7 linked regions of the Danio rerio genome follow. The protein of the gene in region 4 interacts with the protein of the main gene of each other region in a pairwise test. Links are inferred from orthologs where the notes say so. Each region holds a gene or a part of one and is shown on either strand. Other genes may lie near its edges. The genes, in order: syt16, rmdn2, ptpn9a, agtrap, txn2, pbx3b and tbrg4.

Evidence for each region.
Region 1: the proteins of agtrap (region 4) and syt16 interact in binary tests that used the Homo sapiens proteins (3 or more experiments, as listed by UniProt). The link is inferred for Danio rerio from reciprocal best matches to the Homo sapiens genes AGTRAP and SYT16.
Region 2: the proteins of agtrap (region 4) and rmdn2 interact in binary tests that used the Homo sapiens proteins (3 or more experiments, as listed by UniProt). The two-hybrid records come from large-scale screens. The link is inferred for Danio rerio from reciprocal best matches to the Homo sapiens genes AGTRAP and RMDN2.
Region 3: the proteins of agtrap (region 4) and ptpn9a interact in binary tests that used the Homo sapiens proteins (3 or more experiments, as listed by UniProt). The two-hybrid records come from large-scale screens. The link is inferred for Danio rerio from reciprocal best matches to the Homo sapiens genes AGTRAP and PTPN9.
Region 5: the proteins of agtrap (region 4) and txn2 interact in binary tests that used the Homo sapiens proteins (3 or more experiments, as listed by UniProt). The two-hybrid records come from large-scale screens. The link is inferred for Danio rerio from reciprocal best matches to the Homo sapiens genes AGTRAP and TXN2.
Region 6: the proteins of agtrap (region 4) and pbx3b interact in a two-hybrid assay, tested with the Homo sapiens proteins (4 studies listed by BioGRID). The two-hybrid records come from large-scale screens. The link is inferred for Danio rerio from reciprocal best matches to the Homo sapiens genes AGTRAP and PBX3.
Region 7: the proteins of agtrap (region 4) and tbrg4 interact in binary tests that used the Homo sapiens proteins (3 or more experiments, as listed by UniProt). The two-hybrid records come from large-scale screens. The link is inferred for Danio rerio from reciprocal best matches to the Homo sapiens genes AGTRAP and TBRG4.

Annotation. Positions count from the first base shown.
Region 1 is NC_133188.1:41,011,165-41,014,664, forward strand, and holds part of syt16 (synaptotagmin-16), read right to left. Parts: intron 2,191-3,500; coding exon 1,877-2,190; 3' UTR 1-1,876. UniProt on the Homo sapiens protein: May be involved in the trafficking and exocytosis of secretory vesicles in non-neuronal tissues. Is Ca(2+)-independent.
Region 2 is NC_133188.1:45,624,558-45,628,602, reverse strand, and holds the start of rmdn2 (regulator of microtubule dynamics protein 2), read left to right. Parts: upstream 1-1,245; 5' UTR 1,246-1,305; intron 1,306-4,045.
Region 3 is NC_133200.1:7,141,151-7,144,650, forward strand, and holds part of ptpn9a (tyrosine-protein phosphatase non-receptor type 9), read right to left. Parts: intron 2,330-3,500; coding exon 2,205-2,329; intron 2,071-2,204; coding exon 1,965-2,070; intron 1-1,964. UniProt on the Homo sapiens protein: Protein-tyrosine phosphatase that could participate in the transfer of hydrophobic ligands or in functions of the Golgi apparatus.
Region 4 is NC_133186.1:18,172,259-18,175,758, reverse strand, and holds part of agtrap (type-1 angiotensin II receptor-associated protein), read right to left. Parts: intron 3,148-3,500; coding exon 3,036-3,147; intron 1,658-3,035; coding exon 1,444-1,657; intron 1-1,443. UniProt on the Homo sapiens protein: Appears to be a negative regulator of type-1 angiotensin II receptor-mediated signaling by regulating receptor internalization as well as mechanism of receptor desensitization such as phosphorylation.
Region 5 is NC_133178.1:3,509,176-3,513,289, forward strand, and holds the start of txn2 (thioredoxin, mitochondrial), read right to left. Parts: upstream 2,801-4,114; 5' UTR 2,769-2,800; intron 1-2,768.
Region 6 is NC_133183.1:36,175,571-36,179,798, reverse strand, and holds the start of pbx3b (pre-B-cell leukemia transcription factor 3b), read left to right. Parts: upstream 1-1,428; 5' UTR 1,429-1,932; coding exon 1,933-2,129; exon of another isoform or gene 2,130-2,133; intron 2,134-2,744; coding exon 2,745-2,818; intron 2,819-2,855; exon of another isoform or gene 2,856-4,228. UniProt on the Homo sapiens protein: Transcriptional activator that binds the sequence 5'-ATCAATCAA-3'.
Region 7 is NC_133191.1:30,798,411-30,802,665, reverse strand, and holds the start of tbrg4 (FAST kinase domain-containing protein 4), read left to right. Parts: upstream 1-1,455; 5' UTR 1,456-1,526; intron 1,527-3,292; 5' UTR 3,293-3,365; coding exon 3,366-3,770; intron 3,771-4,255. UniProt on the Homo sapiens protein: Plays a role in processing of mitochondrial RNA precursors and in stabilization of a subset of mature mitochondrial RNA species, such as MT-CO1, MT-CO2, MT-CYB, MT-CO3, MT-ND3, MT-ND5 and MT-ATP8/6. May play a role in cell cycle progression.

The sequences.
Region 1 (3,500 bases), on a different chromosome or scaffold from region 4:
AGTCCATTCAAATTGGTTCAAATGGTTCAAATGGTTTAGATATCTGAAGCTGATTAAAAGAAGATTCAGCTAGTGAATGACTTAGGGGCCCGATCAGACCGAACACGCTTTTACATTTAAAAAAAAAGCTCACAAAAGCTCACACTTCTGACTTTTTCTGAGAAATATTTCTCACAATTCTGACTTTTTCTGAGAAATATTTTTCACAATTCTGACTTTTTCTGAGGAATATTTCTTACAATTCTGACATTTTAAGGAATATTTCTCACAATTCTGACTTTTTCGGAGGAATATTTCTTACAATTCTGACTTTTTCTGAGAAATATTTTTCACAATTCTGACTTTTTCTGAGAAATATTTTTCACAATTCTGACTTTTTCTGAGGAATATTTCTTACAATTCTGACTTTTTGAGAAATATTTCTCACAATTCTGACTTTTTCGGAGGAATATTTTTTACAATTCTGACTTTTTGAGGAATATTTCTCACAATTCTGACTTTTTCTGAGGAATATTTCTTACAATTTTGACATTTTGAGGAATATTTCTCACAATTCTGACTTTTTCGGAGGAATATTTCTTACAATTCCAACTTTTTCTGAGAAATATTTCTCATAATTCTGACTTTTTCTGAGGATTATTTCTTACAATTCTGACATTTTAAGGAATATTTCTCACAATTCTGACTTTTTCGGAGGAATATTTCTTACAATTCTGACTTTTTCTGAGAAATATTTGTCACAATTCTGACTTTTTCTGAGAAATATTTCTCACAATTCTGACTTTTTCTGAGGAATATTTCTTACAATTCTGACATTTTGAGGAATATTTCTCACAATTCTGACTTTTTCGGAGGAATATTTTTTACAATTCTGACTTTTTCTGAGAAATATTTCTCACAATTCTGACTTTTTCGGAGGAATATTTTTTACAATTCTGACTTTTTCTGAGGAATATTTCTTACAATTCTGACTTTTTGAGGAATATTTCTCACAATTCTGACTTTTTCGGAGGAATATTTCTTACAATTCCGACTTTTTCTGAGAAATATTTCTCATAATTCTGACTTTTTCTGAGGAATATTTCTCACAATTCTGATTTTTGTAAAGGAATATTTCTCATAATTCTCCTTTCTAAATGTTTGCAAATATAAACTCATGAGGTCCCAAATTTCAAAAAAGTGTAGGAAATTGTGAGCTTGATATTATGAGAAGTAATAATCGTGTCATTGAAACTTGCAACTGAGACACAACATCTTTTTTTTTGCTATCATGGAAGACAATTTTTTTGTACAGTCTAATAATATGATATGAATGGTGATCAATTGTGCACCCTTTTTAATACCGATATATACCAAACCTAACTTCTATTATAACACTGTCCTTGACTACAAATCGCAGCATATTCGGATGTAAAATGTAATAGAAATGTAATAAAAAGTAACAGCTTTCGTGTCATCAGTAGAATGAATGAAAGAAAGAGCACATTTTCCACTAAACATGGCCTTGGTGTGGCTGTGAGTCTTAAAACTTGAGGCTTAACATCATCTGAAGAAAGACATTTCTCCATTCATGAACTCGCTAGGCGACAATTACCGTGGCTGGAGCAGTAATGCATTTTGATTGGCTGCTGCTGAAGTTTTAAAGAGTATGTCACGATATGAGATCATTGATAAGAGGCTGTATTAAGTGCTCTCAGACAGTGTCACGTGGGTGTTTGTATGTGCTTTCACAATTACATGCCTTATCTTTGTTTGATGCTGTAAAAAGTTGCTTGCTCACTCTGGTTTATCTGGGTATTTTTGGCCTTGGCCGTCTTCTCCCTCCCAAAGGAATATCCAGCTGAATGCAGTGAGGTAAGAGTGATTGTATTTCTCTCTAAGCATCCAGCAGCGTGTGCCAGCGGCAGACCTGTTGGTTTCCGCTCTCCTTCATGTCCTGCCAGTGAAGAAGCTCCTCTTCACCGCTGCTGTTCTGGCCCAGAGCCACCCAGCCTATCATCTCCTTACGCTTCATGTTCCGCCGATTGTAAATGGAGACCATTAACGTGACGTCAGACAGTTGGAAAAGCGCCACCTGGAAGACGAACGTCTCCTTGAAGACAGGATTGGGCTGGCTGCGACGGATCGACGTCTTACAGCGGGAAATCTCCTGTCCCATTGAGTTCAACAGAGTGAGCTTACCAAATGTATCTGAAAGAGAGAGTCAGGTCAATTAAGGCGTTTCAGACATTTACATTTATTCATTTAGCAGATGCGTATATCAAAGTCTGCATGAACTGGAAGCTGTGACTTTTTTTTCGTATTGTGATGCAATTCCTAGAGAAGCTGAATATTAAATGAGGCAACAGTGGGCGTGGCTTGTTTTTTTCTACTGCAAGTTGATTGGATGTAGTAAAGTTGGCATTTTATTCAGAAATATTGTGAAAACAGTGTCTACTACAGGTGGTTTATCAAGCCCACTTACTTGTGTGGAGCACACTCATTATTGCACAATGTTTTTCAAGAAATAGTTGGTGTTTATAAGGTGTCTGGGGCATATGGAGAGGAAATTAGTGTCTACTACATGTGGTTTGTCAAGCCCACTCACCTGTGTGGAGCACACTCAGAATTGCACAATGTTTTCCAAGAAGTATTTGCCTTTTTTAAGGTGTCTAGGCAGATGGAGATGGAAAAAAGTGTGTCCTACAGGTGGTTTGTCAACCCCACTCACCCGAGTGAAGCACACTTAGAATTGCACAATGTTTTTCAAGACATATTAGTGTTTAAAAGAAGATGTTTGGCACATATGGAGAGAAAAGGAGTGTCTACTACAGGTGGTTTGTCAAGCCCACTCACCTGTGTGAAGCTCACTCAATGATTTTCCAGGCCATTTGATTTTCTCTAAGACGAACTTACTTTCTTTTAATGTTACATTTGCTTCTTGGTTTGACTCAAGATTTCAAAGTGAACCAAAATGTGTTTATTTTAGTCATACATGAGTGCAGCTGCCATCTTATTGGTCAGAGTGCTCCTGTTAACATTATGTCGTTCTACATCTGCTATGTAAAATTTTGACACCTGAGAATTTTCAGGCACAACGAATATAGATTACAATGTTTTTGTAGTGAGAGAATAATTTGTTTATTTTTAAAAGAATTTTTTTTCAGAAGTGATTCATTAAATTAAATAAACAATACAGTAAAAATATATATATATTTTTTAAAATTTTAAATAATTATGTACTTTTTCTTTCTATTTATCAAAGGACCTTTAATAAATCTGAATCTGAATACTAAAGTAATGGCTGCTGTAAACCCTAGTAATAATAATAAAGTATGTAATTTATATATTTAAAAATAAATTTTGTAATACTATGTGGTTTTCTCTAATGGTGACGCATAGACTGAGAAGAGATTTAAGACTCAGTGATCGATTAAATGCCACGTAACTCCATTCACCCTGCAACTTCATTGAGTGAAGTGACTGACAGACTAAGATTAATACCCGTAAGAAAGAACAAC
Region 2 (4,045 bases), on a different chromosome or scaffold from region 4:
TTGGAAAAATATCTAGTTAAATATTATTTAGTCATCATGGCAAAGATCAAATAAATCAGTTATTAAAAATGAGTTATTAAAACTATTGTGTTTAGATAATCTTCTTACCATTAAACAGAAATTGGGGAAAAAATAAACAAGCGATCTAATAATTCAGGGGGGCTATTCTGACTTCAACTGTATATATATAGTAAATGAGTGTGCAAAGATGTTAAAAGCCAATCAGAGCAGCAGAAACCGCACAGATATCACAGTTCAAGGTTGATCAGATACTTGTGTTTATAGACTAGAGAGAAACACAGCAAAACGCTGAGCTCCACAGCAGTGAAGGCCACCATTCTGCTTCAGTACTGTAAGTTTTACAAACTTTAAACAAAGCTTTAATGGTTAGGCAATATTTTTAATTCTTGCTTTTATGAAAATGCATTAAGGTCTATGCTTAAGATTTTTTTATGCAAATATTTTGTTCTAATTATTTAAATTCATGACAAGTAAAATGATTATAATTCGACAGTTCCTGCATGTGTTTTGGTGTTCATTTGCTAATGTTGTTGTAAAGTGGTGTGTATGTGAACGGTGCAAATGTAGAGCAAAATTTGACTCTGTTAATGAATGATTTTGATGAACTTTGAGTCTGTGCTTCTCCTGTTATTAGCAGGCCATTATTATTGCCCTTTGATCTGCAATTTTCTCTAGTTAACATGTTATGTGTAACATATTCATAACAGCGTAGCAATGTTTCACAATGATGGTCCCTTTAGAAATGTGATTTTGTAGAAAAACAATGCTTGGAATTACTGTATAGACCATTTCAGTGTGTTCATGTCATTGGCCCATGGACATGCCATAACTGAAACAAGAGGCAACTTAATGTTAAACTTAATGTTAAAACAGCTGTCATAACATTATTTAACAATATGTGGCTCTTTTTGGCTTCCCAGAAGCTATAGAAATAAAAAATGTAAAACAGGAAATATGCTGGGACTATTGTTTTTGTTTACATCCATCAAAAGGCTCTAAATGGAGAATCAAAAAAGACAGAAGCATTAACTTACTAACATACCAAGGCATGTAAAACTGAATAAAACAAAAGCTGCTTTTTGAGAGTGAACATTTGAAATACCACTCTTTTAATTTTCGTCTATCTATCAAACGTCGTTCATTGTTATTCCAAGTTATTTTTAAACCTAAGTGTTTACGTAGTGTTTTTTTATTATTTAGTCGGAACCTTCAGTTTTGGGCTTTGGAGCGACACGGACTGTTTTTGCTGACGCACCGCTGCGCTGGGGAGGACGTTTTAAACAGGTAAACTCTGCTGCTTTTCATGATTAAATTGCTGTTTTGTAATGTATGTTTCGTGTTTTTGCTGATGTGGGCCGCTACAATGTTGTTAGAAGGCTATTTTCTCCGTGACGTCTACATAGGCAGAGCGTTATTGTGAATATTAAGACCTTGGCTGCTGATTAACATCTAATACCACTTACGATCCGTGCTGTTTAAAATGCAGATTTATTCATTTTTCTCAATTTTAAAACTCGTTTTTCACGGCGAATAGAGATCCTAATCCACAATAATTATGGCTTTCATCATTACTGCTCATGTTTATTGTTCAAACGCCTGGGGAAATTTTCTTATGTAACTTATTTCTTATTTGTGTAAAATTACGAGTTCTTGTTGATATACAACGCTTTGCACACCGTATACGCTGGAGTTTATGGACGTGTTTCCGTGAAAGGATGAATTAGACTTGAGTTCAGACACTTCAAAGAGGATTAATTAGCTTAGGCTAATTCGCTTTCTGGTCACTGACTGGCAGCTAACTAATAGAGGTAAAGTTGGTTTTATGATCGCACATTCAGTCTATCTCATTAATAATAAAATCTCAGAATAGTATAAATGGGAAATTCTAAATAGCAAAATCATATTAGCAGCCAACAACCATCAAAGTACAACATTGATCACAGTCAGTTAAATAGTGCCAGTGTTGTTTTGAAGTCATACTTACATTTGATTTCAGTCTGAATATTCAAAATACCATGGTAAACAATATATGGAGCTGTCACCGAACAAATGTGCAAATATAAAACCAACTTTACCTCAGTCTAGCAGCTTAAATAAGACAATTCCATGCAATTGTCAACCTTGCCATGAAAAACATTTCACCAAAATTTCTAAATCGTTTCTAATTTTTTGGTTAGCAATTATTTTAAAGTACAAAAATGTCTCTGTCAATGTTTCCAACTATTATATTTGATTTACCAAAAGTGACACAAGTGGCAATTTTACATCCGTAACAACACCTTTTTTCTCATAAATGCAAAAATATATATTAAAACTTTTATCCTTTTGATTATCACTATTTCTTTTGGGTTTTGCAGTTTAATTCACAGAATTTCTACAAAGTATGGTGTGTACTGTAAACTCAAAGACTTTTTTGGTCACATCCATAAAGCATCTTTATTTTCCTCATTTATATAGAAAACATATACATAACATCTATATCCATGTATTGTATACAATACATAAGCTTTAAATAAATAACAATATATTTAAATACATCAACAAAAATAAAACAAAAAAACAAAAATGGTATGTGTGATAGCAATGGAAAGACACAAGGACTAAACTACTGAAATGTATTTAACACTATAAAAGGCTTATTTTGGTGATGGTAGCTTAAAGTCGCCTCTCAAATGGAGAATGAAGACACATGAATTGCTCAGGTGTGAGTTTTTCCACAGACTTTAACAGAGTGTAAAATTCTTTATGGTTCTGTGGGTCTCGTCTATCAAATCTGATCTATATTTAGCATTTTCAATTGTATTCAATCAAGTGATTGGCTGGGCCATTCTACAGCTTGATTTTTTTTTCTCTGAAAGCATTTGAGAGTTTCCTCGGCTGTGTTTTGGATCATTGTCTTCTTCATCCTGCTAATGTGGATGTTGGACTGAAGCAGTGAATATTCATTTACAATGATGAAGGACAGTTGCTGAAGAACTACTGAGATATTTTAGTTGCTCTTTGGGGTTTCACTGCCCTTTTACACCTCCCTGTCTTCATGTGTTCAATGCTTTTTTCCCTGTGTCATTTCATTTTATTACAAAACCTAATATGTAAACTACTTAGATTTGTTTTCTTTTCAAATATGGATTTTTTTGGTTATCAACATTTGGTTACAGCACCTTTGGCAATATGACTTCTGAGAAAAATAGTGACATGTTCAATACTTATGTCCCCCACTTTAAACAAATAATATGTGAAATAAATAAGAATTTGAATGATAAAACAGTATAAAACTCAATTCATTTAACATGAAATGTATTCATATAAAATAAGTATGAATATTACTAAAGGGTACCAACATTTTTTTTTATATATTTATTCCTTTATTTAGGTTGTTTGACTGCTAAATTATAGCCAGAGAAGTTTTTGATCATTTCAAATCCCGGTAACAAGATCTATCACAATATAGTATCATTTCTGTAAATTAAATGAATTAATTGTTTATTGAGACCTGTAAAGGACACTTTCTTTTAGCATTTTTAAAGTTTATACCCAAAAACTCATTCATGTGTGATCATATTTTTCACTTTGTTTAGAACTTCATGGCAAATGTTTAATTAAAAACACAGAAATGTAATAAAATATAAAACTTTTCAAAAACTAAAGATGTCACAAAAAAAAAGCAAATTACTTTTAAGATTACTTTCTCACGATTACAAGATAACTTTCTCTTTCTCACGATGCGGTTATTAATGTTTTTAATCAGCATCCTCGTAGTAGCCTGAAATTATGAAAAAAAATACATAAAAAAATAATATATATATATATATATATATATATATATATATATATATATATATATATATATATATATATATATATATATATATATATATATATATATATATATATATATATATACAGTTGAAGTCAGAATTATTAGCGCCCCTGTTTATTTTTTTCACCAATTTCTGTTTAATGGAGGGAAGATTGTTTCATCACATTTCTAAGCATAATAGTTTAAAAAACTTATTTCTAATAA
Region 3 (3,500 bases), on a different chromosome or scaffold from region 4:
CAAAAGCAGAAACTCCTCTGATTTATTCTGAAACACAACAAGATCACTGGAGCATCTTCAAGACACTTCGTAATAGGAGTGTGCAATACTTATCGTTTTGGAGTGCGTCACTCACTTAGCAAAAGCAAACAAACAAACAAAAACATGTCTTTAGAGCAATGACTGTACGATGAAGCCTATTAGCCTTTTAGACTATAATTCAAGAAAGCAAGAAAAAAAAAGCTTATATATTCACTAAATATGACAAGATGAGTGATATCACACTAACAAGAGTGTCGTTTTCCTGAATATTAGCATGCGATAATTTCAAGAAACAAGGCATTAGCCGGTTTTAAAATTAATCTTTAAAATAAAAAACGAATCTAAAATGCGAATTAAGAGGATATATATCTGGTTTTAGAGTGGCTGACTGTAGTATTGGTAACCTAGCAACCAGCAGTAAACAAGGCAAGCATAATGGATTCACATGGGTGTAAAGTTTAAAACATCAGTTTTTTCGTCAAATGTGTTTACATATCACATTAAACTCTCTGTTGCACAAGTCCAAGACCACCTCAAGCGGAGTCGTTGTTTGGTTGTTGTAAATTAAGGATTTTGTTTTTGAAACTTGCCGTTTCAATCACTCGTTTCTAATCCGTAGGTCCACACAGAATCTACGTGCATAAAAATATGCATATTTCCGCAGATTTTTCAGCCCATCGTTTAGCCTTGTTTATTTATTTAATGGGACTAAAGTTGTTCATTCAGTTTGTCTATGAATTTTAGTAATATTGACAAACATGCAAATGTTTATATTCTTTATTTTCACTACAGTTTGTAAAGTACTATTTTCTGTGTTTTAGTAAACATATTATGAGAATATTATATGTATCAGGGGTTCTCAACTGGCTTGGCCATGGGACCCACATTTTTACATGGTCATCAAGCCGTGACCCAAATTTTTAGGAACTATAATATAAATTTAGGATTTATAATTAATTTGCATTTATTTGTTGACATACACAAGTAGTGACAGATAAATCATAAGAAAATTACCAATACTTACAAATAAACAGTATTTTATTGCTGTCATAACAAAATGTATCAAATTATAGAAATGTTACAGAGTAAAAACGACAAATATTGTAAACAGTGGTTAGGGTAAGGAAAGGTTCAGTTACCATGAACTAAACTGAACTGTTAATTAAACATATTGTTGTCTGGTTTCTAAATGTCGTTTTAGTTTAGAAGGTTTCATGCTCTCTTGTGGGAGCACCTCACTACATATGGCACACTAAGGCTTAAAGTCTTTTTTTGTCAATATATGTAAATCCATACTTTACATTGTGCATATTTATTGCTATAATTAAATGAAATTTCACATGTCAAACGGTAGGGTTGTCGCGCTCGCATTTCAAAATAAAAGTCCGGTATAAGCAAAATAAATTAAAAATTAAACTTTTTTTTTTTTTTTGACCACACACAGTGGGTCGCGACCCACCAGTTGAGAAACACCGATATATATTATATGACAAACTTGCTTCGTTTGCCAAGTGGATCTAATTGGATTTGAATTATAAACCTTAAATAATAAATTTCTGTCTGACCCTGCTCATGCAATGGAAACCAGCTGTTTAGAAAGCATTTTAGACTAAATAAATGTAATAAATTCTAAAAACAGGACATTTGTGCAGTGTTTCGTTCCATATATAAATCTGTTATTATTAAAATCAAGAGAACTGATGATTCAATTATCTGTTCATAAGCCACTTGTTTTGTTTCAAAATGAATCAACCATTTAAAACAATTCTTTTGAATGAACGAGTCAACAAATCAATCCCTCAGACAAGACACGGTCGCCACCTACTGGTGGTTTCAGTGTTTGTTTTTGACCAACGACAGGCCTAAACCAGCACAAAAAAACACACCCAGTAAAATCTCCATTAATCAAATAATGCCCCAGAATTCTTCACATAGAAACTCACCTTGAGCAAATTAAGGATCTTTTTGCTGAGGTCCAGCTCAAAGTTAGTGTAGTTGGATCCAGCCATGTCATAGATGAAGACCAGTCCATTTCTCTGAGTCTCAAAGCTAAAGAAACAACATTTATTTTGACCAGAAATCTAATCACAAAACTCTAAACTTCTTAACAGTCACGTCTGATCAATTTTATGGGACATTTTCGAGGTATTTAACTGAATTGAACTGAAATTTAAATGCTTTACCTTTCCACAGCTCGGTCCAGCAGGTAAAAAAGGGCCTGAAGAACCACATGGTTTCCGGTTTTGCTGGGATGGTGCAGTTTAGCCGTATAGAGGGCGATGGAGGCTCCTGACGGGTCCCGGACACCCTGATATCAGAAAACATCGCAATATGTCAGTAACGAGGAGCCATTCATATTCGTAAAGTCACTCAGCTCTTTGGAATATTAGAATAATGCATATTCTTTACTGAATAAAGCTACATTTACATTCTAAATGCAACATTCTGCAAATTATAAATTAAAATTAAATTTAAAAATTTAAATATTCAATAAAATTCAAAAATATAATTACAAAAACATTATGATAAAATTGTTTATGCATGCATAAACAAATGAATAAAAATAAATGGTCTTTGAATGATCTCACAAATAAATGCAGTAGTTGTATATTTCTTAATCCAACAAATTCTGCAAATCTGAAATAAAATAAATGTAATAATAATTATAATAATGCAAGATATATTTTTATATATAAATAGTAAATACATTAAAATAAATTCTAAAACAATGTGAATATGCATACATAAATGGATATTATATATATATATATATATATATATATATATATATATATATATATATATATATATATATATATATATATATATATATATATATATATATATATATATATATATATATTATGAATAATATATTATAATTAATATTAAATAAAAACTTCACGGATAAGTTTGTTGATCAAGTACGAGTAAGGTGCAGTTCTAGAGGTGTCCACAGAGGGGCAGAAAAAGTCTTCACTGAACATCAATGAGTCACTGAACCATCAGCTCAGAAACATTATATTTACATCTGCCATCCAGGAAGACACTAAATCTGCTTTATTTGCTCTCAGCTGCCCCATTTCCGTATGTGTGAGCACACGCTTTACATCTATTAAATATTTACGCCAATAACGAACAGCAATACTCTGATGACTCATGAGATGTGCGTCTCTCTCTGGGTTATAAATACAGACGGATAGAAGAGGAGACGGGAAGATGAGGAGGATCGATGAACATATTGGATAAAACCACCGCCTTCACTTTAGCTGGCAGAACTCAAATATTTAATTTCATTTATATGAATTTAAATGAAGTAAATTGGCTAGTAAATGCATATCTATCCATCCATCCATCTATCTATCTATCTATCTATCTATCTATCTATCTATCTATCTATCTATCTATCTATCTATCTATCTATCTATCTATCTATCTATCTATCTATCTATCTATCTATCTATCTATCTATCTATCTA
Region 4 (3,500 bases):
TCTGTCTTGTCATTTCATGGAGTTCTGTATTTGGTTTAGACATGATTTGTTTGGTTTGAACTCAGTTTGTTTTCTTTGTTTAGTTTATTGAATTTTCAATTGATTTAATTATTTAATTCATTTGTTTTTTAATTTGAAACTTTTTTTTTGACTTTATAAAAAATAATTGTTTTGGCAATCTTCTTTTTGTATGCCCCTTACTATATGTGCTGGCTCGGTCCCTTACAACATGGTAGACTTAAAAAATTAAAATCAGATTATTGGTGTCCATGTAAACGTACTCGTTGTGTGCAAACAATAAATAGTTTGGGGTTAATGGTATGATGACAACAGGTCAATGTTATGCTAGTTCTGTTTAGAGTTTTGAAAATGTAACTACAGATTGGAAAAAGCAACATTAGCAATTAAAAGAAAAAGTGTAAGAGAAATTTGACTGAAACCTACTCTGCAGTGGCTGAAGAAGAAATAATCAAAATGGTAGACTTTCGTTTGCTGAGGAACATGAGGTGTGAACAGGCGAGAACTGGTCCAAAGTTCAATTTAGTGATGAAATCATGTTTCATTTTATTTGGGTCAGTAAATAAATATTTTCAAGAATGTTTGTCATTAAATTGAAGAAAACTGAAACCTACATATATAAAAAAGTTGGTGAAATGTGGATGAGGAAGTGTCACGGTTTGGGAAATTTTCTTCTGCAGCAAGACCAATATATTTAATCATAGCAGTGTGAGATACTATTAAAGTTCTTTGTACGCATCTGTGCTGGTCATTCAAAGCAAGAGCCTGCATACTTCCTGCTGCTTTCAGATATGCTGCAAACTCAAATGTTAGTTGTTATCTTTCTCCATGCTTTCTCTATTGCTGTTCTATAATCTCCATCACTGTGTTTTCCACAAAACTTTTTATATGTGCCTTTTGGCTATTTTCCAAAACACTGGTCTACTATGATATCCACACAGCTAAACTTTTGAACTATGAAGATTGGATGATTTCTCAAAAAACAAAAACTTTATTTTATTTTTTATATAGGCCTATACTATTAAAAAACCACAATCAAACCAACTATGATCAAGGATCATAAAGATCTAACAGTAAAGAGTCAGTGAAAACAGGCCTAATTCCTTTAGACCCAATGCTGTTCTTAAAATTATAGTCAGGCTGTTATTTCTGGGGGCCACTCTGTCAGGCATGTGTCTTGTGACCGGTTCTAAAATTCAATTACCCGCTCCTATTTTTTTAAATACTTATTTTTCTTTCCATATTCAGTGAAGTACTGCTCAGAACTATATAATTGAAATAGGCTCAATAATGTTTTGGACCCTGAGCAAACAATGGTGGTATTTTATCCCTACTGAAATACTTTTCCATGCATCACAAACCACTATGGACCAAAATGAATCAGTCACCAATTATTCTTTCTTCCTCAGGCCTTCGGTTACTCACCAAAATTGACATTGTATTCACCCCCTCGCTCACGGTACATTTGGTAGACAAAGAAGCAGGAGACAGGTTTGAGCAAGAGGCTCAGGATGGCCATGCCTCCACTAAAGCGGAACAGGTCCCGTGTGGATCTCTCGTATAGGAGTTCAGCTGCTGCATAGTAGATCCCAAAATGAACAATATCAGTCAAGATTGTCACTGCCAGTCCGATCAAGAACTTCATGGAAGAGAGCAAAGACCAAACATTAGTATAGCAAATATATTACACACACACATGCACACACACTAAAACATTTAACCTCGACTTGAAGATATATACAGTAACAGTAGTCATCAACTTTTTAACCTTACACTGAATGTTTCCTGGAATTTCTTGCTACAGTATACATGCTATTCCAGCTGTTCTTTTCCTTAGAGCATTGTGCTTAGCTAAAAAGGGCTAAGCACCATGCATTAAAGAAATGCATTGAGGAAATATACTCACGGGCCACTTTATTAGGTACACATTACTAGTACTGGGTTGAACCCCATTTGAATATAATGAATTCATTGTCATGTTCAAGCAACCAGTCTGAGATGATTCACGATTTATGACATGGTGCGTTATCCTGCTGGAAGTAGCCATTAGAAGATAGGTACAAAATGGGTACCCTGTGGTCATAAAGGGATAGACATGATTAGCAATGATACTCAGGTAAGTTGTGGCGTTGACACCACGCTCAATTGGTACTAACGGGCCCAAAGTTTGGCAAGGAAACATCCCCCACACCATTACACCACTACCACCAGCTTAAACCATTGATACAAGGCAGAATGAATTCATGCTTTCATGTTGTTGACACCAAATTCTGACCTTACCAACCGAATGTTACAGCGGAAACTGAGGCTCGTCAGACCAGACAACGTTTTTCCAATCTTCTATTGTTAAATTTTTGTGAGCTTGTGCGAATTGTAGCCTCAGTTTTCTGTTCTTAGCTGACAGAAGTGGCACCTGGTGTGTTCTATTGCTGCTGCAGCCCATCCGCCTCAAGATTCAACGTATTGTGCATTCAGAAATTCTCTTGCATACCTTGTTTGTAACGAGTGGTTATTTGAGTTACTGTTGTCTTTCTATTAGCTCAAACTAACCTGGTAATTCTTCTCTGACCTCTTGCATCAACAAGGGATTTGCACCCACAGAACTGCCACTCACTGGATATGTTCTCTTTTTAAGAGCATTCTCTGTAAACCTTACAAACAGTTGAGCATGAAAATCCCAGTAGATCAGCCGTTTCTGAAATACTCAGACCAGCCCGTCTGGCACCAACAACTATGCCACATTCAAAGTCACTTAAATCATCTTTCTTCCCCATTCTGATGCTCAGTTTGAACTGCAGGAAATCGTCTTGACCATGTCTACATGCCTAAATGCATTGAGTTGCTGCCATGTGATTGGCTGATTAGAAATTTGTGCTAACATGAAGTTGGAAAGGTGTACCTAATAAAGTGGCCGGTGAGTGAATAGTCAAAAGTCTAGTTATGGATTTTTCATCGGTCGTTAATAAAGAACAAATCAATTGCCTAAAAAGCCTTCATGCATGAAAAAACCCACCTACCAATAAAACAGCATCTATGGAGTCTCTCTGTGCTATGGCCCACACTCCCACTGCAAGAACACTGAAGTTCCCCAACACATAAGAAGCTGGGAGCCAGGAAAGTAAGCATGCCCTGTGTAAGCACATATTCAAACTGTTAAAAAAAACATTGTACTAACATAGCACTCTCCTTTAACTCAATTTGGTTTATTTTTTTGTAAAAAAATATTGTGTTTAAAAAGTACACCAATAAATGGCTTCTGTTTAAAACAAACAAACTTATTTATACATTTTCCTGTTGTCAAGATTAAAGTTCCAGAAATGCACAACTATGCAAAATTACCTGACCTCAGACCAATTGAGGTGACATTAAGAATGCAGTTTCTAAAACAAAACCCAAAATTTATAGGAACTGCGGGATGTAGTTTGTTTAATATACTGTATAATGGCTAAAATAAAAACAAAACCGAACTGTTTCTGTGTGCC
Region 5 (4,114 bases), on a different chromosome or scaffold from region 4:
TCATTGTAAATATTTTTCTTTCACTGTATAATATATTTTCACTGGTTTCATTGGATGTATGGGCAATAAATAATTGCAGTGATTATTTGGTTTTCAGTTTATTTCTTTCTCCATCCGCTTGTCACACACATTAAACTAATGTATGTTATGTCATCTACTCCTAATTTAATATTAGCATCTAAAAGGACGTAACAACCGAATATAACACCAACTTTACCTCTATATAGACATATAGGTGAAGTTGGTTTTATATTCGGATATTCAGACTTTCTCCTTAATAATATAATTTCAGAAAAGTCTTCTTGGCAAATTATAAATAGGCAGGGTTCAACGCTAAGGATTTTTCCTACAGGCCCGATTGGACCAGTGGCTCAGATTTTTACTAGTCCTGCCAAAATTTTCACTGGCCCACCAAAAAAAAAGTTAATTGCAATTTCTCAGCCACATATATTAAATAATGTGTCACAAAATATTATCTTTGAATTTAAATATTTGAAAAATGTTAAAATATTTAGCAGTACAATATAGAGTGTGGAAAATGTGCAGGTATTTTATTGCAAAACAAAAGGTGGCTGACTCAAAAGAGGCGGCAAACTAAGCAAAACATAACTTAATTTTGTTCATAGTGTTGTACCCATGCCAATGTTTTCACAACATTAGAAGCACACGCTTTCTTTTATGCCTAGTTCAGACTGCATGATTTAAGCCCCGATTTTGGCTCGCCGACAGGTTTTGAGAAATCGCCGACAAATGCCTGAAATCACAGGCAAATCGCTGCTCGTGCACGTGAGTGTCAATCACACAGTATGAACTATCAAAGACGCGATCTGAGAGAATCGCCGATGAGTCGTCAATGCCTGTGAGATATTTGGCATGCTAAATATCTGGAGCTGTCGGCGATTCAAATCATGCCGTGTGAATTGAGTTTTGACTGAAAATAACATCAGCGATCGCTTACAGCCAATGAGAGAGCAGCTTTCACTTGTGTGTGTGTGTGTGTGTGTGTGTACCTGCTGCAGGCCAGCGGGAGGCTGGGGGAGAAGTTAAAAGCGCTCTTTTTAGGTTTATTTGGACTCACGAAATGGAGGAAAAACTAGTGGAGTTTTGACAGGACTCAGGAGCAACCGTGTCTGTTTGACGTTTCATACAGAAAGAAATTCGTTTATTAGCAACGTTGAGGAGAAATGGCTAATACCCTTTAAACCCAGGTGAGCAAATATGAACATGTTCTACCCCATTAAAGGCTTCTTTCTCATTATGTAGTTAATAACAAAAGATATACTACGTGTTTTTGGCTGTGAGACGTAGTTTGGACGAAGTTGTCGGCGATTCTTCCTATAGTAAAGTCATGCAATGTGAAAGTCCCTGTAGCCGATCCATCTTGCAGTGTAAACAAAGCAGCGACGAAACGCTAGCCCAGATAGTCATGCAGTGTGAAAACATCTGTGACACGACTACTTTGAGAATCATGCAGCCTGAACTCGGCATTAGCCTCATAATTTGATGTTGCGGTTATGTTGCCGTCTATTAAAATTTAGTGACAAGGCAGCACTGTCCTGATCGGGTCACTAACGATTCTGTCCACGGTCCCGAGCATCTCTCACGCTGGCCCCGGGCAGTGCCTATTGTTGAGCCCTAATACAGGGGTTCCCAAACTTTACAGTCCGCGACCCCCAAAATGACAATGCGAGTGACTCGTGACCCCCAATATCCTCTAAGGTGGTGGTTATAAATACAGAAACCTTGTATGCAATGACGTGCACAAACACACCAATAGACCCAAATCTATTCTTTGTTTTTTTTTATGTATGTCAGTGCTGTAAATGGGCTAGAAAGTTTAACCTGGTGTTACAAAATCTGCTGCATCTGACAATATTGCTGTGTCTTTAGTACAATGTAATTACCCGAGAAGTCGCAATCCAATAGAACTAGTAACTATAAGCTACTATAGTAACTATATAGTCTATATAGTAACTATAAACAACTATTTTTTTTCTCTTCAGTAGGTTATTGATAAAATACAGTAAGTCTTAAGCTTTAATAAAAATTAATTGATTTTTGAAAATCACCAGGCGACCCCCCTTCATTGTCCCTCGACCCCTCGGGGGGTTCCGACCCCCACTTTGAGAACCTCTGCCCTAATAGGCAAATCATTTTAGCAGCCAATGAGTACAGCAGTGTTCACAGTGAATTAGATAGTGTTAATGCTGTTTAGAGTCACACTTGCATGCTAATTCTAATCTAATATTCAAAGTAACATTGTAGACATTATAAAGACTGATAAATAAAAAATCAGCGAATATATAAAACCAACTGTACCTCTATTAGACAGACAGACAGAGATAGACAGACAGATAGAGATGTGTTGAGTGTTTGTTATACCTGTTATATATGATGGCTAATCAATACCTATTCATGATTCTTCATTGATCAGTACATTAGCGGATCAACAACAGCATTTCACACGAATATAAGACAGGAGAGCAGCTGATGTTCACTCTTATTGAGTGTGTTGACACACTCAGAGTCTCTATAACCTGTTCACTCGTCTCATATGTGTGTGTTCATCATCTTTTATCTGTGGTTGTGTAAATCCGTGTGGTTTTTAACCTCCACGTGACTTTGAGCTTCTGCTGTTTCACGTGTGTGTTCTGTAAATCCGGCGCGCGCATAAACGCGTGAGCTGCAATGGATTAACGCGGATTATTTGTGTTTTCGTGTTGTTTTGTGTGTTTGCAACAGTTACGACACATTAAATAAACTCTTACCGTGAGCTCGAGAGTCCTCTGGTCTCACGGACCGGTGACGCACTTCCGCTCACGTGGACGAGCAGCTGCTACGACGCAGCGACATGCCGCGGCGCGGAGAGTCTGCGTGAAACGTTGATATTGAACTGTACAATGATAAATTAATAAAAATAAATAAATAAATAAATAAATAAATAAATAAATAAATAAATAAATAAATAAATAAATCAATAACATCTGACTCTAGATAAAATCTTGAAAAACGGTGATGTTTTAAATGCAATAATAATAATAATATAATAATAATAATAATAATAATAATAATAATAATAATATGAAAATAGAAACGGGTATTAAAATTAAATCTGTAACAAATCACAATAAAATAAAAAACAAAAAATACAAAACACAATAGACTCAAAACTTTGACTATAGTGAAGAGTGATTTTAGTTTAAAATTAAAAATAAATGAATTAAAAGAGATAATAATCTACTGCATAACTGTAATATTAAAAATAATAAATAAATAAATAAAATCTGACTGTAGATAAAATCTTGAAAAACGGTGATGTTTTAAATGCAATAATAATAATAATAATAATAATAATAATAATAATAATAATAATAATAATAATAATAATAATAATAAAATAGAAACGGGTATTAAATTAAATCTGTAACAAATCACAATAAAATAAAAGACAAAAAAATACAAAATACAATAGACTCAAAACTTTGACTCTAGTGAAGAGTGATTTTAGTTTAAAATTATAAATAAATTAATTAAAAGAGATATTAATCTACTGCATAAATGTAATATTGGAAATAATAAAATAAATAAATAAATAAATAAATAAATAAAAATAAATAGATAAAGCTTCTGGTGAACTCACTGCAATTATTGGAATAAAGAAAATAAATAACTAAAAACTAATGAAATAAAATAGATTTAATCTAGTGATCACCGACTTTAATTTAATAATTAAAAAAGCAGATTTATTTAAAGTAAAAACATCCAGTGTACTGACAGCAGTGCTGTAAAGAGAATATTTAAATAAAATGACAAAGTAATTTTATTTACCTACTCATTTTATTTACCTACTGCGCCACTGCGTCGCCTCACAGCAAGAAGGTCGCTGGTTCGAGCCTCGGCTGGGTCCCTGCATTCGCGTGGGTTTTCTCCGGGTGCTGCGGCTAAACCCACAGTCCAAAGACATGTGGTACAGGTGAATTGGGTAGGCTAAAATGTCTGAAGTGTGTAAATGTGAATGAGTGTGTTTGGATGTTTCCCAGAGATGGGTTGCAGCTGTAAGGGCATCCGCTGCGTAAAACATATGCTGGATAAGTTGGCGGTTCATTCCACTGTG
Region 6 (4,228 bases), on a different chromosome or scaffold from region 4:
CCCAATGCCAACATTTTATCATCGGAAGAGTTAAGAAATAAATATTTGATAGAATAATATCATTTAAAAGTAGTCTCTAATTCCCCCATGGCACTTCGTTTGAATACAGTTCTTCTACATGCGCTATTATTTACGACGGACCAAGAACAACACATACTGATGCTTTTGGTGACTGGTGTACTGAACAAAAGACGCGTGTTTTGGGCTATACCTTGAACAACAGTGGTTGGAGTGTGGATGGAATACGGTGTTTTTGTGGCTGTAGCCGGCTGCCTGTGTGTGTGAGAGAGAGAGAGGAGCGCGGCGGACGGAGGAAGAAGCGCACAAATGTTTCGCTGTGTGTTTTTGCTTCGAGCTCACCGAACAGTCTGCTGCCATAGCAACTGGCGAGGAGCGCTGCGCAGCGCCGCCTGCTTGTGCAGTAATGTCACCCTTGGCAACGTCCAATCAGAAGTTGAGATCTCTCTGTACAACCGTAGCAAAGGTATTGAGCTCCGAAGGCGGGCGTTCTCGATCAGCGCGAGTCGCTCATTGGTCACTCCGGCTGCCCGTCAAACGCCGTCTCTTAAGCGATTGGTTCGAGGCGTCTATTTCCAATATTATAAACATGTCCTCTGCTTTCCTGCCCCTGCAAGCACGGCTTGTGGAGGCGACCATACTATGGTGTAAGGAAGCGAGGGGGCCCGTGCAATTCATTATTAGTTTGAATCAGACAATATAAAACTCTGACCTTTTGTTTGTTTTATAATGTAACGGCATCTCAAATGCACGGGCGCGCTTTTAAATGAGGCACGCGTAAAGCGGAGACTTAAACGCTGCTGATTTGATGCTCTGCTCTCATCATTATCATCACCAGCAGTATCATTAGTAGCTAACTGGCATTTTGTTTTCGGGGGCTTCGGCGAGAAGTGACAAGAATCTAAGACCCCTCCTCTGCAGGGCGGAGCGTGCATTTTGATGTCGATTTTGTATCTTTTTTTCTTCTCTGACACGTCCGCACTGAGTGAATGGCATTGGCACATTGTCAATCGCTCACTACCGCTGCCATCAAACAACATAAAGCACACACAGCCCGCGCGCTCGACTCATAAATTTCCGCCAGCAGATATTTTTGCGCATCGCTTTATGGCGCGTGATTAATTTTTTTCGCTAGTTTTTCTATTTTACCTACTGAAAGTGAGAAAACTTTTTTATACGTTTTTGTATATATTTTTTTCTCTACAATCTTTATAGCTCTGGTCGCCGGTGCTGATGGTTTAATTTATTTCACTCGGGTTCTTTTATTTTCTTATGCAGTTTTTTTATTTTTGGAGGAAAAAAAAGAAATCTTTTTAAAAGACAACATTCTGCCAGTTGTCCACACTCAACCTGCGTCTTTTTAATTACACAATCATTAATTTTGATTAATTATCACTTTCCGTCAGAGGCATGGGATGTTTTGTTTGCAACTCTTTGTAATACTACGGATTTGTCCAAGTTTTCCAGAAGTGCACAAGGCGAAATTATCCTAAGAAGACAGCAAATAAGAATTCCAGACATCTGCAAAGGACCCCGGCTCTTCAAAGAGAAAAAAGACAAATTGGCATGAAGATTCGGACAGGATTGAACGGGCAACCGCTGTCACCTGAACGCTGAAGTTTACTTCAATAACAAACAAGAAAGATCATCGCTAATTTTCCTCTAATGGACATTCTTACAGGAGGATCAAAGACGATTTAAATCTTTTCCCGGGACATCAATTCCGCGATCCAGCGATTTATTGTATTTTTCTTCTCTTCTGCGTTGCTTCACGGTCAATATTTTGTGCACGATAGCGACCCGTTAAACGCCGCACATGAAATAATCAAGTTGTTTTTGCATGTGCATTATCCGAGTTTATTTCACCCATCTCAGTGACTGAGCACGAGCGCATTGATTGTGTTGCGGCGGACTATGGACGAGCAAGCCCGGATCATGCAGACTCTCGGCGGTGTCAGCCTGGCTGGTCACTCGGTACAAGGCGGCATGGCTCTGCCGCCTCCACATGGACACGACGGAACCGATGGGGATGGAAGAAAACAAGACATCGGTGACATTCTGCATCAGATCATGACCATCACCGACCAAAGCCTGGACGAGGCGCAAGCAAAGTTGGTGCATTTCTGTAATATAAACGCTTGCATTGTTTTCTTAACAAAGTATTCCATGCTTGCTCATTTGATTCTTTACAATAGCTCATGTTGCTTTCATTTACTTTTTTTTTCACACTAGCTAACTTTTAATTTTCACCCACTGGGTCACTATAGTAAACCTAAAAGGTCAAGTTTGCATCTGAAATCCATTTGACAGGTTGAAATCACGTTTCAGTGTCACAAGATCTATCCTAAATCAGAACATTAGCTGCTAAAGTTGTGCATTTTAATGTAAATGATACACAGGTGAAGTGCTCAACACATGTGAGCATCTCATTAAAAGTTTCTACATCTCACTTTTCTGTTTCTGAGCCGAAGAGGCCCTGATACTTTTACAGCCACTAGCCACATACTATAAATCTTTTACTTCTTTGTAAATTAATTTACATATTTAGCACTAATTAATTATACTCTTTGTTGTGAACTTTGTCTGTGTTTATTTCTAACAAACCAATGCAGTTTAAAGATACATTCCAACAGAAGACTTGATGCCTTATGAAGTTTTAATGCGACACAATTATGAGTTTTAAGTGACTATATATCAATCTCGTCTCTTGCTCCCAAATGGCACAGGAAACATGGGCTCAACTGTCACAGAATGAAGCCAGCCCTCTTCAGTGTGCTCTGCGAGATCAAAGAGAAAACAGGTAAGATAATGCATACCCTTACAAATGAAGCTAAATTAGACATGTCAAGAAGAAAAAAGCAACAGAACAGTGTCACTAATCCTTCAGACACCGCCATCTTTATTGGTGTTTTTTTTTTATTTGGTCGTCAGCGGAGTCCAGTTGTATCAAGCCACATCCAGCATCCACATTTCTCTGCTTCTCACTTGTGAAAATGAATAGTCATAATTGGATTTATCATTGCAAAATATACAACGATGATCCTTCCCCCCCTTCTGCGTTGCATCACAAGGCTGAACCGAGTGCCTTCTTCTGGGGCATGAATGAGAGAGAGGCACCCCGGCAGTTCCCTTGTTTACAGCGCGCTATTCTCACACCATTCATTTAATCAAGCAAGACCCACACTTGGGGAATTGCTCGACAATTATGCATCTTCGGGATATTCTGCATCTGCCACTGAGGATATGCTTTGTGCGGTGTTGGTTTAATATTAAGCTTGTTTTGTTTAACTGCACGCCCTGAGAGCGTTTGCGCGTGTTCGTGGTTCGGAGAGAGAGCGGTCCAATTCCTGCGCTCCTCTGGCTAATTATGCGACCAATTTACTGGATAATTATTGGCAGTATCGGCGGTCCTGCAGTTAATTATTGCCCCCATTTTATTCCGAAAGACGCCAGCGCTGTGAAGGTTACATCGTTCACCGACACGTGCAAAGATGCTTGGCTTTATTGTGTCATTGTTGATTTTTTTCCTTTTCTTTTGTGTGCTAAAACGCACTTGTTATGATCAGGAGGGATCGATAAGTTATTTATTATTAGTTTGATGCAACCAAAGTTGTAAAAATATTTAGATGACAAATTTTGGCTGGGAATGCCCTCATTGTTATACAAGAATTCTGGTTATCTTGTAATAAAACTAATATTAAATTTTAGACATGGTTATATTTATGTTTAGATTTTTTTCATTATTTATTAAGGAGCCTGGAAAGTGTAAATAACTGGAAGTTGCCACTTCTTTGGCACTTAACAATATTGTTATTTAATTATTAACATCTAATAATATTTTTGTACTGTGGCCTATGACCTATCTGACCACTGACCTAGATCTTGAAGTGTAAAAATAGTTTTAATATTTAAATTTCAACATTTGAATTCAGCAATGCATTGAGTGGCAACTGACTGACTCCATTCAAGGACCTTATATTAAGAATTGTATCTTGGCAGAAGTACAGGCGCACATTATTCTGCATAATGTTTACTTTCTTGTGCATTGCTCCTTCTTGTTGGATTAGAATTATTTTATTTCAGTTGATATACGCATGTCTGTATCAAACACAAAATATTTCACTCTTTCTGACACTCGAGCACCTCTGAAACAGTCTGTCGAGCGCGCACTGTAGATGAAGTCCAATGACAGATACAACATCAATTCAGC
Region 7 (4,255 bases), on a different chromosome or scaffold from region 4:
CACTACACCACTCTCACTGCTATCTCTTGCGCTCTGTAGTTATGTTGTCTCTGTTAATCAAACGGTTATGGGCGTGATTCGCTTAACCAGCTTATTCCAACAAGGTGCACTATTTGCGCTTAGCCTAAATAGACACTTCAAAATCAGCATTTTCCCCCCCTGCAGGGGCCCCAAGTGCACACGGGCCCCTGGGCCTGTGCCCATAATGCCCATTGGTTAATCCGGCCCTGATGCCTGCAAACAAGTGATAATTTTCCGGAAATTGCACGTCCTCAAACATCCCTCTTCACACCTCCACACTGCATCCCTCCTCGCTCTTTCTTCAGACACTCTGTCAAACAACCCATGCCAAACATGCGTTATAATCAATCATTGGCTTAGTGTGAACTCTTGAAAAGATAGATATGGGAGAGGGAAAACGCAAGTTACATTAACTGCAGAGTAAAAAAAAAGACTAACAAAGCAAAAAAGGTAAGTAAACTAGAATTGTATAAAAGTGTATGACATTTATTAAATTAAGAGCATTACAGAAAAGCTATCATAGAAATCAAATCATAGACAAATCATAGTCATTAGACAAAAGTTTTTCATACCAAAAATCGGACACATTTTTTGTTGTTACACATACGGAAAGATTTGAGCAGGGACTCAACTTCAGTCAGAAAATGTCAAAAAGTAGGAATTGAAGCCATGCATTTTTGTTTAGTTATAAAAAAAACATCCAAACAAAAAGAAAAGGTTCAAGATATATTCTTTAGATTTAAGTGCAAATTTTTAGTAATAACAAATCTTTTCTTTAAAACTAAAAGACTGTGCAAAGGTAAGAGTGTTTAAATAATGATACAAGTAAAAGTAAAGTTTAACGGCAGGTTGATTTGTACCTAAAAGACTTCATGTGACATGCAAGACCCATTTTTGAAAGAATTGCAGTGACATCACATTGACTGTTCTTACAAATATATATATATATATATATATATATATATATATATATTTTTTTTTTTTTTTTTTTTTTTTTTTTTTTTTCCCTTTAACTCTTTGAAGCATACATGGGACTGACTTCTGCAGTCTACAGTTACCGACTGACTTCTGACTTTCTATATCTTTGCAATGAATTAATTAATTCACTTGATATTCCAGGAATTTCTCAGATAACTTGTTTTTGACCATCACAAATCCTTATTTATTTCTTACATTTTGAATAATGAAATAATGAATTCCCTAATTACCTAATATGCAGTGTAACAAATCACAAAAAAACACTACCAGTGTGAAATGTATAATTGATATTTAACAATATGTTGTGAACATATGTTGTGTGCACTGCTTTGCTTGCCTTTATGTCCTTCGTTGAGTTGATAAAACAACTCTTCCTTCCTCTTTTTTTCCCCCCCAATGGCCACCAATCACGACGCGTTGTGTAAATCACATGTTGCCGGCTCCCTGACGCAAAACCTCCGCGACTCCTACTGATCGTTCCTCCATGTGAATGTCGTCGATCCACTTATAAAACCTTATTTGACGAGGTAAGCAAGCAGTAATTACTTTATCCTTAGCGACAGTGCAGTCCTGTGCATTTACCATGACACGTATTTATCGGATAGCTTCAGCGGTTGCTCTGTTTCTCAAATTGTATGTTGATAACGAGCACCGTTTCATAAGCTTATTGCAGCGCCTGCCCAAAACGGCAAGGTCAGAATAGACTTCTTCCCATGACAGACTGCTAGAAAACGCAGATATCTGACAGATCTTTGTAAGATGTTTGCAAGTAGTATATTTAGAAAGTGTTAAAGTTTAATACTAGTAATGATCTGTTTTAAAAATAAATCTGTTATTAATATTAATTATTATACTACTACCAATTATAGAAATATACAGAATAATAGAATTGTTTATATTACACAAACACAAAAGGCCAAGAACACTAACGTTACCAGTCAGAAGATGGGAAACATTAAGATCTGATGTTTTTGAAAGAAATCTTTATTTCACCAAGTCTCGATTTATTTGATAAAAAAAATACAACAGTAATAGAAATGATTCTTACAGTTCATGTAACTGTTTTCTGTGAATGAATTAAAATGTATTAAAAATATAATTCGGTTTGGCATTGAGGTAAAGTTGGTTTTATATTCAAACATTCAGACTTTCTCCTTGCTAATATAATTTCAGAAAAGTATATGTCAGCAAATTCTAATTAGTGAAATCATATTAGGAGCCAATGACTATCAAAGTACAACATTTTTCACATATCTACTTGTGATTGGACACAATCTACATTGTAATAGCGCTATACAAATAAAGGCGAATTTAATTTAATTTAATTTAATTTCTGAACGAATATTCAAAGTAAACAATGTAGAGAGCATGTCACATGTTGTCACTGAACAAATGTGCAAATATAAAACCAACTTTACCTCAATCAATTTGGCCTAAAATTAAGATCTTGATTAATTGAACATTTTAACTTGATTACGATTAATGAAAGAATATGACTTTTTTTTGCCCCCATAGTTCAGTTCACTGATAAGTTTTGTAAAGTAAATGTGCTCACATTTTACAAGTGAGAGATTTTTGAATGAAGGGTGCCTTACTTGATTTTAAAATAAATTAAGGAAACACTATCTAACATCTATGATTATTTATTGAACTTAAATGTTGAACAGCTGAAATTAAAACAAGTTGCCTCAAACCAACAGTTTTTTTCTTATAAATAAGTGAAAATAAATTACTTGAACTTTTCAAAACAAAACAAAACAAATCTGTGTTTTTCATATTAAACATAGAAAATAAGCAGTATATCTTAAAATATAAAAATAAAATCCCTCTACTGTAAATAATATTTTAAACAGTGCATTTCTTGCATCTTCTGTAAACAAATATATGAATGTAAATAATAATTTTGATGTAATGGAAAATATGCCATCTCAAGGAATCTCTGGTGCAGCTTCCAGTTATCATCAATATAGTGCAAGGTAACACAACAGTAACAAATAAAGCTTTTTGATTAATCACCAGCCCTACTGTGACATTGTGATTTTAATGAATGTTTTTAAATTTAAATAGTATTTTTCACAATATTGCTGTTTTTATCATTTTATTTGTTTGTTTTATTTCAAACACATACAAAAATCTTAAGATAGAGTTCCAAACTTTTGACCAGTAACATACATGTTATATAAGCATCATTATTATAACATGACTGCTGTTATTTTTCTCTTAGCTGGCCTTGTTTTTGTTCATCTGAGACTTTCTTTTAATGTACTATACATTCTTCCTGATTGATTTTTAGGTGCACAGCTCAGCTGAAGATGTGGGTGCAAATGCTTTGATTGGTGTTGAATCCAGAAAGTCTCCTTTTGAAAATGACCACCAGGCTGCTGTGCAGATGGGCACGATGGTTTCCTCGCAGCCCTCGGACTGCCACAGCCTCTGCCCGCCTGCAGACCTCCACTGTCCACCATACAGAGCCTCTGTGCTTGATGACTCTGTCTTGGATCCGACCTTCTGTTCGGCATCTCTGTCAGGGCAATGAACTGGCCAAGATAGATGAGGGAACAGTTCCATATGAACGTACAAAACTGATCAAACTTGTGGAAAAAGCATCCACCCCAGACGAAGTGCTTCAGTTGTGGGATCAGCATGGTGGAACGGGCAGTGAGGCCGCCAGGTGTCTGATACAGCTAAACCTGCGGGTCGTGGAGAAAGGAAGCAAAGGAGTCTTGCTGGATCCTCGCTGCAAGAGCATGCAGGACACTTTAAACACTCAGGTAAGCAGAAGAACTGCTTTAGATAAATTAGAGATACTGACATAAATCATAAAAAATTCATAATTATAAGAGTAAATTCAGAATAGTTTATTCCCAATACAGACAGGCCTTCTCCAAAACCTCCGGATTCACAAAACACTTTGTAAACATTAGATTTGAGTTTTTTTAAATTAATTATTTTCAGTCATTCTTAGTTACATGCTCATTGGCAATTAGCAAAATCCCTGCCAATAAATGACAACTATGTAAATTCAAGAACCCAGTGAAATATTCTGGATTCTCTCTTTCTCTCCGAATACTGTAGGTTTGGCTTCTGTATATTTCAATAATGTAGGAAAGCCTAACTTTTTTGTGTCCTCCAAAGTGTTTTTAGCCATGTAGCTTTAAAATGCCTGCTTCTCTTCTAAAAATGACTTTTGGTTGCGTGGCTTTTTGCAGCTGAGATACTTGGGTTGCTGTGTTTTTGGATTTTGGATTTTTTTGTA